Linked DNA regions of Oryctolagus cuniculus. The protein of the gene in region 2 interacts with the protein of the main gene of each other region in a pairwise test. Links are inferred from orthologs where the notes say so. Each region holds a gene or a part of one and is shown on either strand. Other genes may lie near its edges.

The links.
Region 1: the proteins of GPN1 (region 2) and GPN2 interact in binary tests that used the Homo sapiens proteins (3 or more experiments, as listed by UniProt). The link is inferred for Oryctolagus cuniculus from reciprocal best matches to the Homo sapiens genes GPN1 and GPN2.

The regions. Positions count from the first base shown.
Region 1 is NC_091438.1:144,618,871-144,623,595, reverse strand, and holds the start of GPN2 (GPN-loop GTPase 2), read right to left. Parts: upstream 2,935-4,725; 5' UTR 2,698-2,934; coding exon 2,287-2,697; intron 1,750-2,286; coding exon 1,593-1,749; intron 887-1,592; coding exon 726-886; intron 1-725. Other genes in the region: GPATCH3 (G patch domain-containing protein 3), read right to left, coding at 3,358-3,559. UniProt on the Homo sapiens protein: Small GTPase required for proper localization of RNA polymerase II and III (RNAPII and RNAPIII). May act at an RNAP assembly step prior to nuclear import.
Region 2 is NC_091433.1:175,377,503-175,381,995, forward strand, and holds the start of GPN1 (GPN-loop GTPase 1), read right to left. Parts: upstream 2,855-4,493; 5' UTR 2,809-2,854; coding exon 2,698-2,808; intron 2,045-2,697; coding exon 1,951-2,044; intron 256-1,950; coding exon 216-255; intron 1-215. Other genes in the region: CCDC121 (coiled-coil domain-containing protein 121), read left to right, coding at 3,060-3,397, 3,993-4,493. UniProt on the Homo sapiens protein: Small GTPase required for proper nuclear import of RNA polymerase II (RNAPII). May act at an RNAP assembly step prior to nuclear import.

The DNA.
Region 1 (4,725 bases), on a different chromosome or scaffold from region 2:
TTATAAAAACAAAACAAAACAAAAGGTGCTGCTTGAGATGCCAGCCTCTCATATTAGGTGCCTGGGTTTGAGGCCCGGCTCTGTGACCAATTCCAGCTTCTTGCTAATGCACACTCTGGGAGGCAGCAGGTGATGGCTCAAGCAGTTGGGCTCCTGCTATCCATGTAGAAAACTGGACTGAATTCCAGTTCTTGGCTTTGGCCTGACCCAGCCCCAGCTGTTTTTAGCAAATGGAGAATGAATCCGCAGATCTGAGCTCTTTTTTGCCTTTCAAATAAATAAATAAATAAAAACAAGAGAAAGGGTAGAGGCAAGTCAGTTCAAGGAAAGGAATCTACAAAGTACCTGTCTCTCCCAGGCGCTCTCTGCAGGGTGCAAGGTAAGAGGCACAGGGTTTGGGCACCTGCCCAGCTGACGGGCCTGACAGACACGCCCTGGACGAGGACAAGTGTCTCGCTGAGGGCTTCCTGAACCCACCTTTTTTCACACCGAGGAGGACGTGTATGGAGGGGACCCAGGACTCCAGAAGAGATCAGGTGAGAACGTGGGCCACTCTCTTTACTGGAATCCTGCCCACCACAGCCTTTCCCACCAAAACCAAGAGGACCCTGTGACAGTCCAAGCCAGGACAAAGACCACTGTCTGCACAGCTTCCTGTGCCCCTGGCTTGGGGAGTCTCAAGCACAGCCAGACAGCAGGGGAAGAGGCCTGCTAGTGCCCAGTACCTGGATGTTCAGAGGGATAAAGGAGACCAGGCTGTAGTCTTCGATGAGCTGCACCAGCTTCTCATTGAGCTGGCGGTAGTGGCGGAAGAAAGGGTCAGAAGCCAGGTGGTCGAGCAGGTAGGAGAGGTCCAGGACCTCTGTGTAGTAGTCCAGGTTGAAGGCTAAGGAGAGAAACCAGTGTCGGGGCAGCTGGCATCAGGCTGAAGTCTGAGGACTGCCACAGTATTTTCTTCTGGTGCAGCATCCTGCACACGGCACAGTAAATTAGCACAGCCATTTCAGAAAACAGCTGTCAACGTGCAGCAGGCTCCTACCTACACGCACACGCACACTGCCATACCTTGACTCAACAATCTCACTTCCGATAATTTATCCGAAGCAGGCATTCATCGGACTCCAGATCTGCCAGAGCCTCATGCAGAATTTCCTGGCTTCCAAAACCGTTAGAAATAAATGTGGCTGAACCCAGCTGGTCTACGGTATTTTGGGTGCAGCAGCCCAAACCAAGACAAGGCCTTTATGTCTATCTGTCCCTCCACTGGCTCCTTCTCGACACTCAGGCCTCAGCTCAGAAGCGACTGCCCCAGAGCCGTCAGATACCGCTCAGCCCCCACTCACTGCCGCTGTCAGGTCACCTTGCTTTAATTCCTTCACACCCACGTCACCAACCGCAGCTCTCGTCTCCAGAATCTACAACGGTATCTGGCACAGAGTGACAGAAACGGGCCAGATCAGGACCTGCCTGTGGTTACCATCACAAGGCCTGCGCGGCCCGCCCGAGGCAGCCTCCCTCTGCTGAGACCTCGGCCTCAGCCTGGCCGGCTGCAGCGGCTTGCGCCTTTGCACGCCCGGGGCGGGAGGTCTTACCCAGCTTCCCGTAGTGCTCGATGAGGTCCATCTTGGAGAGGAGGTTGACGTGAGGCAGCTCCACGTGCAGCATGGTGGCCAGGGAGGTACACAGTACCGAAATGAACTTGGCTGGGTCTGTGCAGTAGTGAGAATCCACGAGGTGCACAGCCGTCAGCTGGAAGCGGAAGACACGGGACCCTCAGAGCCCAAGTCTCCCCCATCAGGCCGGGCGCTCGAGACGGCGTAAGCTGTCCCTTTCAGTCTCCTCCTCTTTCTGTTTTGTTCTAATGCCACCCTCATTTCCTTCTCCCAGGACATAAGGGGCACTCTTCCTACAAGATGCCTTGCACCAGCGCCTTCCGGTGGGCAGCAGGCTCAAATCCCACCGCATCTGATTTCATTCTTTCACTTCTGCCAACCGACTTAAAACACTCACCATGTCACTTTTTACAAAATCCCTCCTTACTCCCAAAAATGCCAACTCGAGAACACACACGTCCATTTAACAAATAAGAAACTGAGGTTCAGAGAGATGAACCGACTCTCCCAGGCCACACAGCGAGTCAGTGGCACAGCCAGGATTTGAACTCCCATCTATATTACTCCGAAGAGTCAGGCTCAGCCCCTACCTCGCTGTGTGACATGGGGGCGTGGCATCTGTCCTCCTCCCTCTCTCAGTTCTGCAAATGGGTCTCCCTGGCCCGAGACGCACCCTGAGGTCCCACTGTGCCATCTGGGAGAAGATGTTGCGCAGAGCGCCATGGTGCGTGCACAGCTCCACCTGGCCCGGGCAATCGAAGAGGAAGTAGTGACCGCGGAGAGGGTCGAGCTTGGCACGCAGCCAGTCCAGGTTGGCTTCCAGGTACTCCATGCAGTAGAGGAGGCCGCCGTTGGGCCCCAGCCGCAGCGCGTCCATCACGTCGCCCAGCCCCACCAGCTCGCCCACGTCCACGGCGCACTCGTACGGCAGCCCCTCGTTGGCCGGGTCCAGGTTCACCACCGCCACGCGCCGGCCCAGCGCGCGCAGGAATTCACTCATGCCCAGACAGTAGGTGGTCTTCCCCGAGCCCGGCGGGCCGATCACCGCCTGCCCGAAAGCGGTGGCGGGAGCGGCCTCTGCCATGGGCGCACGCGGCCAGGCGCGGGGCAAGCCGAATCAGTGGGGAAACAGGACAGTCAGCCGCGCAGGAGGAAAGACCGACGGCGGGGACAAGACCTACTGGCCTGCAGTTAGCTGGAGGCTGACGGGGAAGGACAAGTGTCTCGTACCACACAACAGCAGAGACCAAGCGGTACGCAAAGGGAGAAAATGACCCGGTACTACCCGATCGGCCCTCGACTTCCGGACAGCGCCGGAAGCCGCGGGCCCTGGGGGCGGAAGCCCCGCCCGAAACCCGGTGACGTAGTCGGTGGAAGGGCGTGGCCACGCAAACGCATTTCTTCCTGGGAGCGGAAACGCCTCTTGTCATTTCCCGGCCTTCTCCAGGCCCCAGATAAGAGAGGGGGGTGCGTCGGTACACTTTATTCTCCCATCACATCGCAGGCCTGGGGCGTCTCCCGCGGACTCGCCGCCGCCCGGTGCCGGCCAGTCAGGCCCCCGACCGTCCCGAGAGCACCAGGAGCGCGCTCCTCTTCCCAGGCGCGTAGGTCACTCCGGACAGCCCAGCGTCTCAGAGCGCTGGGGGCCGGGCCGGGGCCTGGCAGACCCACGAGCACCGCTCGTCAAGCCTTAAAATCCGGAAGGCGGAGAGGGGGCTTCGGCTGCTCCCGCACGGCGGCGCAGTCACTCGGGCTCGGCGCAGCCGGCCGCCCTCACGAAGGCGAGGTCTGTCCGAAACTTCATGCTGGTGGCTGGCTGGCGGCGCAGCAGTGCCTCGCCCTGGTCCTGAGGTAGGGGCTCGTCGTAGATGGTGGAAATGAGCCCCAGGCCGGTGCCGCGGGGCCTCTTCTGCTGCCCAAAAGGCTGTAGCTTCTCTCCGTGGTACCTGGATGAGAAAGGCTCCCCGTGAGAGGGCCGCTCTCTCTCAGCCCCGTCACAGGGCCGGAGCGCAGGGAATAGGGCCGCACCGTGGGTGCGGGTGAGGCCACCGCCTGCCATGCCGGCATCCCACGTGGGCCCAGGCTCACGGCCCCCTGCTAACGCACCTGGGAAAGCAGCGGGGGATGGCCCAACTGCCTGGGCCCCTGCACCCACGTGGGAGACCCGAAGCTTCTGGCTCCTGGCTGCACCTGGCCCAGCCCTGGCTGTTGTGGCCACGTGAACCAGCAGATGGCAGGTCTCAATCTCTCTCTCTCTCTCTCTCTCTCTAACTCTCACTTGCAAATTAAATAAATAAATCTTTTTTTTTTTTTAATTTTTGACAGGCAGAGTGGACAGTGAGAGAGAGAGAGAGACAGAGAGAAAGGTCTTCCTTTTGCCATTGGTTCACCCTCCAATGGCTGCCACGGCTGGTGCGCTGTGGCAGGCGCACCGTGCTGATCCGATGGCAGGAGCCAGGTACTTATCCTGGTCTCCCATGGGGTGCAGGGCCCAAGCACTTGGGCCATCCTCCACTGCACTCCCTGGCCACAGCAGAGAGCTGGACTAGAAGAGGGGCAACGGCAACCCGGACAGAATCCGGTGCCCCGACCGGGACTAGAACCCGGTGTGCTGGCGCCGCAAGGCGGAGGATTAGCCTGGTGAGCCGCGGAGCCAGCCATAAATAAATCTTTTTTTTTTTTTTTTTTTTTTTTTTTTGACAGGCAGAGTGGACAGTGAGAGAGAGACAGAGAGAAAGGTCTTCCTTTGCCGTTGGTTCACCCACCAATGGCCGCCGCGGCCGGCGCACCGCGCTGATCCAATGGCAGGAGCCAGGAGCCAGGTGCTTTTCCTGGTCTCCCATGGGGTGCAGGGCCCAAGCACTTGGGCCATCCTCCACTGCACTCCCTGGCCACAGCAGAGAGCTGGCCTGGAAGAGGGGCAACCGGGACAGAATCCGGCGCCCCGACCGGGACTAGAACCCGGTGTGCCGGCGCCGCTAGGTGGAGGATTAGCCTAGTGAGCCGCGGCGCCGGCTAATAAATCTTAAAAACAAGCTACAACAATCTGGTCTGGATCTTTGCTCTCGGCTCCTCTATCCACTGACAGCGCCAGCAGCGGGGGCCTCAGCCA
Region 2 (4,493 bases):
GCTGAAACCAGAAGTGGAAACAGTGTTTCCGATAACCTACAACATCTCTTCCACATTCACCTTGCATACTCCTAATAAATTATGAAATTTATAATGAAAATTATTCAAGGCACAATCTATGTTTTTGTGTCTTTCACAAGGAAAGGCAAAAACACCACACAGACAGAAACTAGCCAGCCGCGAGACAACACTGAAGTAGATATAGCAAAGGATACTGTTTCATGACTTCTTTATACTTCACAGTGTCACGAATATCTGAGGGGGGGGGCAAAATAATTGCATTTAATACATAACAATATGATTTGACACCCACCCCACCGCCCTTAATGTCCTGAGCCAAGAGCCTTCTCAAGTCATCTCTGTTTCCACTGAGGGAAAAAGTAAGTTTCTCTCTCGGTATCTGAGTTACTTTTCACACTGTTCTCTGAAGTTTGCACCTAAGATCACTGAATTTCTATAGAAGAAAGAAGCGAGACTGTGAGGGAAAAAAAAATCAGAAGGGTAAAAAGTTTTCCATCAGCATCTTCCTTACCAGCAAGAAACGAAAATCAGCCTTGAAGAATGAGAGCTGGGAGCTCTCAAGTTATGGGAGGAATGTCTGAGACAAGGTGGAAGTTCTACACAACTTAAATCATTAGTGACTGTACGGAAAAAGAGGGCTAAAATTTTAAAGCTTGTGTCTTACTAATTGCACACTGATGAAAAATGTGACACAGAGAAAGTTTTTAAAAAGGAATTAAGAGGTGGATGCTTGGCCTAGTGGTTAGGCCACCAGTTGGGACACCTGTGTCCCATGTCGGAGTGCTGGCGTGCAGACCCTTGCTCCATGCCCGATTCCAGCTTCCTGCTGGCAGGCGCTCTGGGAGGTACCGGTGTTGGCCTTGCCATCAGGTGGGAGACCTGGACTGATTCCTGGGTCCTGGCGTTGGCACCTGATCCTAGGCCCCTGCAGGCATTTACTTAAAAAAATTCATTTGAAAGGTGGAGCTACAGAGAAAGAGGGAGAGAGAGAAAGCGAGAGAAGTTCCATCTGCCGGCTCACTCACCCTTGCAGGCATTTAAAAGTGAGCTGGCAGATGGGAGCTCTGTCTGTCTCTGTCTCTCAGATTAAAGAGGGAGGGTGGGTGGGTTTAAATCTGTCTAGTAAAATCTACTTAACCTATCCATCCGTCTGTAGACTTCTGCCATCAACTTTTTTTTTTTTTTTTTTTTTTTTTTTACAGGCAGAGTGGAAAGTGAGAGAGAGAGACACAGAGAAAGGTCTTCCTTGGCCGTTGGTTCACAGCGCTGATCCTAAGCCAGGAGCCAGGTGCTTCCTCCTGGTCTCCCACACAAGTGCAGGGGCCCAAGCACTTGGGCCATCCTCCACTGCCCTCCCGGGCCACAGCAGAGAGCTGGAATGGAAGAGGAGCAACCGGGACTAGAACCCAGTACCCAAATGGGATGCCTGCGCCGCAGGTGGAGGATTAACCAAGTGAGCCACGGTACCAGCCCCATGATCTCTGCCTCTTAATATGTGGTCTTTTATTGTATTTGGGGTATAAAAAGCTTGGGGGTGGGGGACACAGGCACTGTGGGGCAGCAGGTAAGGGACTGTGCTACATATGGAAGTACCCCCCATATGGAAGGGCCTGGGATCAAGTCCCACCTCTACCTCCAATCCAGTTTCCTGCTAATGAGCAACCTAAAAGGTAGCAGATGATGGCTCAAGCACTTAGGTCCCCGCCACCACATGGGAGGCCAGCATGGAGTTCCTGGCTCCTAGCTTTAGCCTGGGCGTTAGATAAAGGCCAGTGTTTAAAAAGGAGAATGTTTTATAAAGAAGCCTGTTTAGGGACTGAAGAACATCCAAGAGAGATAAAAGTACGAAGTTCAGAAAATAAAAAAAGTCCCTGAAGACTGGCAGGCTGGAGGCGTTCCCCTCTCTGCGTTAGGGCACAGTGTACTCACCAATGTTGGCAGGAAAGGGGACTTCGTGCACAGCCGGGTCCAGATTGATCACATAGGGCGGGGAACCTTGGCTGTGCAAGTGCCCAGTGAGCCGCTGCAGACAGGAAGATGGGAGGGGGAGGGAGAGGAGGAGGGGGTGATCAGGAAGGGCATTTCCACTCCTTCACCCACCGCCCTCCAGCCACCCGAAATATCCACCCTGCTTCCAACATCAAATCTCGGCTCAAACGCTACTTTTCCTTATCACTCACCTGACAGAGCCTCCCCTACTCTTGCCCACTTATTAACTTGTATTGCAAACCCATATGGCGAGTATCTTTCTATCTCCTCCATGAAAGTAAAAACCTTGTCAACCGCATTTTCTCCGTATCCCCCATGCCTGGAACATGAGAGGGGCCCCAGAAATAACTTTTTTCGCAAATCTTCACCGAAACCCAATGGGTTAACACCGAATCTATCTACTCCATGCCTTGTGAGTCTGCCTTCGAGAGGCTGGCAACTTCCCCAGCAAACAGTTCCAACACAACGTGGTAAGTCGAACCAAGTGTGCACAGAAGAGGGCTTCAATGAACACAGGCGCGGGTCCGCTATGCCTCAGCCCACGAAGCAGCCGGAGTTCGGTGAAGTCCCTGAAAACCACGCGCCGGTGTCCTCCAACTCCCCACGGACTTCCGTCGCTTTCTCCCTGGCCTTCTGCCCGCCACCACCTCTCGCGCTGCCCTACCCCGCCCGCGCAGTGTGCGTCACCTGGACAAAGGTGGTTTTCCCGGATCCCGCCATCCCCAACACCAAGAGGCACACGGGGGGCCGAGGACCCCCGGACGCCTGGGGCTCCGCCGCAGCCGCGAGCGCCGCCATCTTTGCTCAGGCCCCGCCCCTCACCACAGAGGCGCGGCGTGGCTAGAGAGGCCTCCGCGACGTTCTAGATTGGGCGGAGAATAGAGTCGAACGCCGCCGAGAGGCGCCGGCCAGCGGGTGCCGAGTTTCTGCTGCGGGCGGGCTAGTGACGCCGGGAGAGAAGTGAGGGGAGCAGAGAAGCGAGAGGAGAGGGCTAGCGGAGCCGAAAAAGGAGCACTGCCCGTCGCTGGCTCCTCGGAGCGGGAGACGAGATGGGCTCCCAAGGGCCGAACCCCCACCACACGAAAAAGAGGGGCGTACGTCTCATTTTGGGGTCCCAAAGAGCTAGGACCGAAGACGCTGGTCTGCCGCCTGCTAGAGCTTGTTTGGCACCCGAGGAGATTAAACAGCTCAGGGCTGGGCTGACCGGGGCGGGGGCTAAATGGGACGCTTGGGGGTGCTGGGCAGCGCGGAGACCCGTCGAGCCGCAGACTGAGCAGCTGCAAGACCTTTCCGCCTTCACGACCCCCGACGTCAGCGCGCGCTCCTCGGCGACCACCCTCCGAGAACTGCGCAGCTACCGCTGTCAACAGCTGGATTCCAGGAGCAAGTGAGTGCGGCCACGGAAAGAGGATGAAGGAGCCCGAGAAGTATCCCCGCTCCCCATCACCGTCCCGCGTCCGACGATCTGGGTTTCATACCCAGGCGCTGCCACTGGTCAGCCGTCTGGTTTCTTGTTCTTTAAAACGGACACTACGCCGCGGGGTTGCAGGGAATGCCTATTGCAAATTGTCGGCGGTACCCCCAGCATCTTCAACCCTGGTTGTATTTCCCGTGGCTTGCAGAGTGTTTGGAACGTAGTAGGTCTCCAAAATACTTGTTGAGCTGCCACTTGGGACACCAGCATTCCGTATCTGAATGCCTGGGATCAAGTTCCAACTCCACGTCCAGTCTAGCTTCCTGCAATGCGCCTGGGAGGCAGCAGTTGGTGGCCCAGATACTTGGGTCCCTGCCACCCACGTGGGAGATGCGGATGGAGCCCCAGCTGTGGCAGGTATTTGGGAAGTGAACCAGCAGATGGGAAATCTGCCTTTCAAATAAGTAAATAGTCGCTGTATTAATTAAGGACAATTGTGCATCTTTTATGATTGCTTAAATTTGCATTAAGAACTGACAGAGGCACGTCTCATGGGCTCTCCCTTCAGGTTTGCCGAAGGTCCCAGGAGTTCCCCTCCGTCGTACCTCAGTCTAATAAATAATCTGCTCCAGCCCCAGAAGCTAACAAGTGCGGAGATGCGCATCAGAAGAAGAATGGCGAAGGTGCGAGAGCTGGACACGCAGATTAAAGCAGCCCGAGCCCAGCAGCAGCTGTTACTGGAGGACACCAGGCAGCTGCACGAGGAGGAGCTACACTTCCAGGCGGAAAACAGGTTCTTTCTGGAGTACCTGACCAAGAAAACGGAAGAGCTGGCGAAGGAGCCCGTGAAGCTGTGGACGGAGTACATACAGGAAAGTCGAGAGATTAAAAGGGGGAGACAGAAGTTAGCCGCCAGATATGCCAAGAAGTCTGCAGTGCTTAAAGCAGAGCTCATGCAGAAGAAAAAGATACAAGCCGATTTGAAGCAGCAGCTGCAGGATCTGAGAGACATTTCGCTGTTAAAGGAGAAACAGGACATACAAATCCAGAAATTACAGGAGGAGAAAAA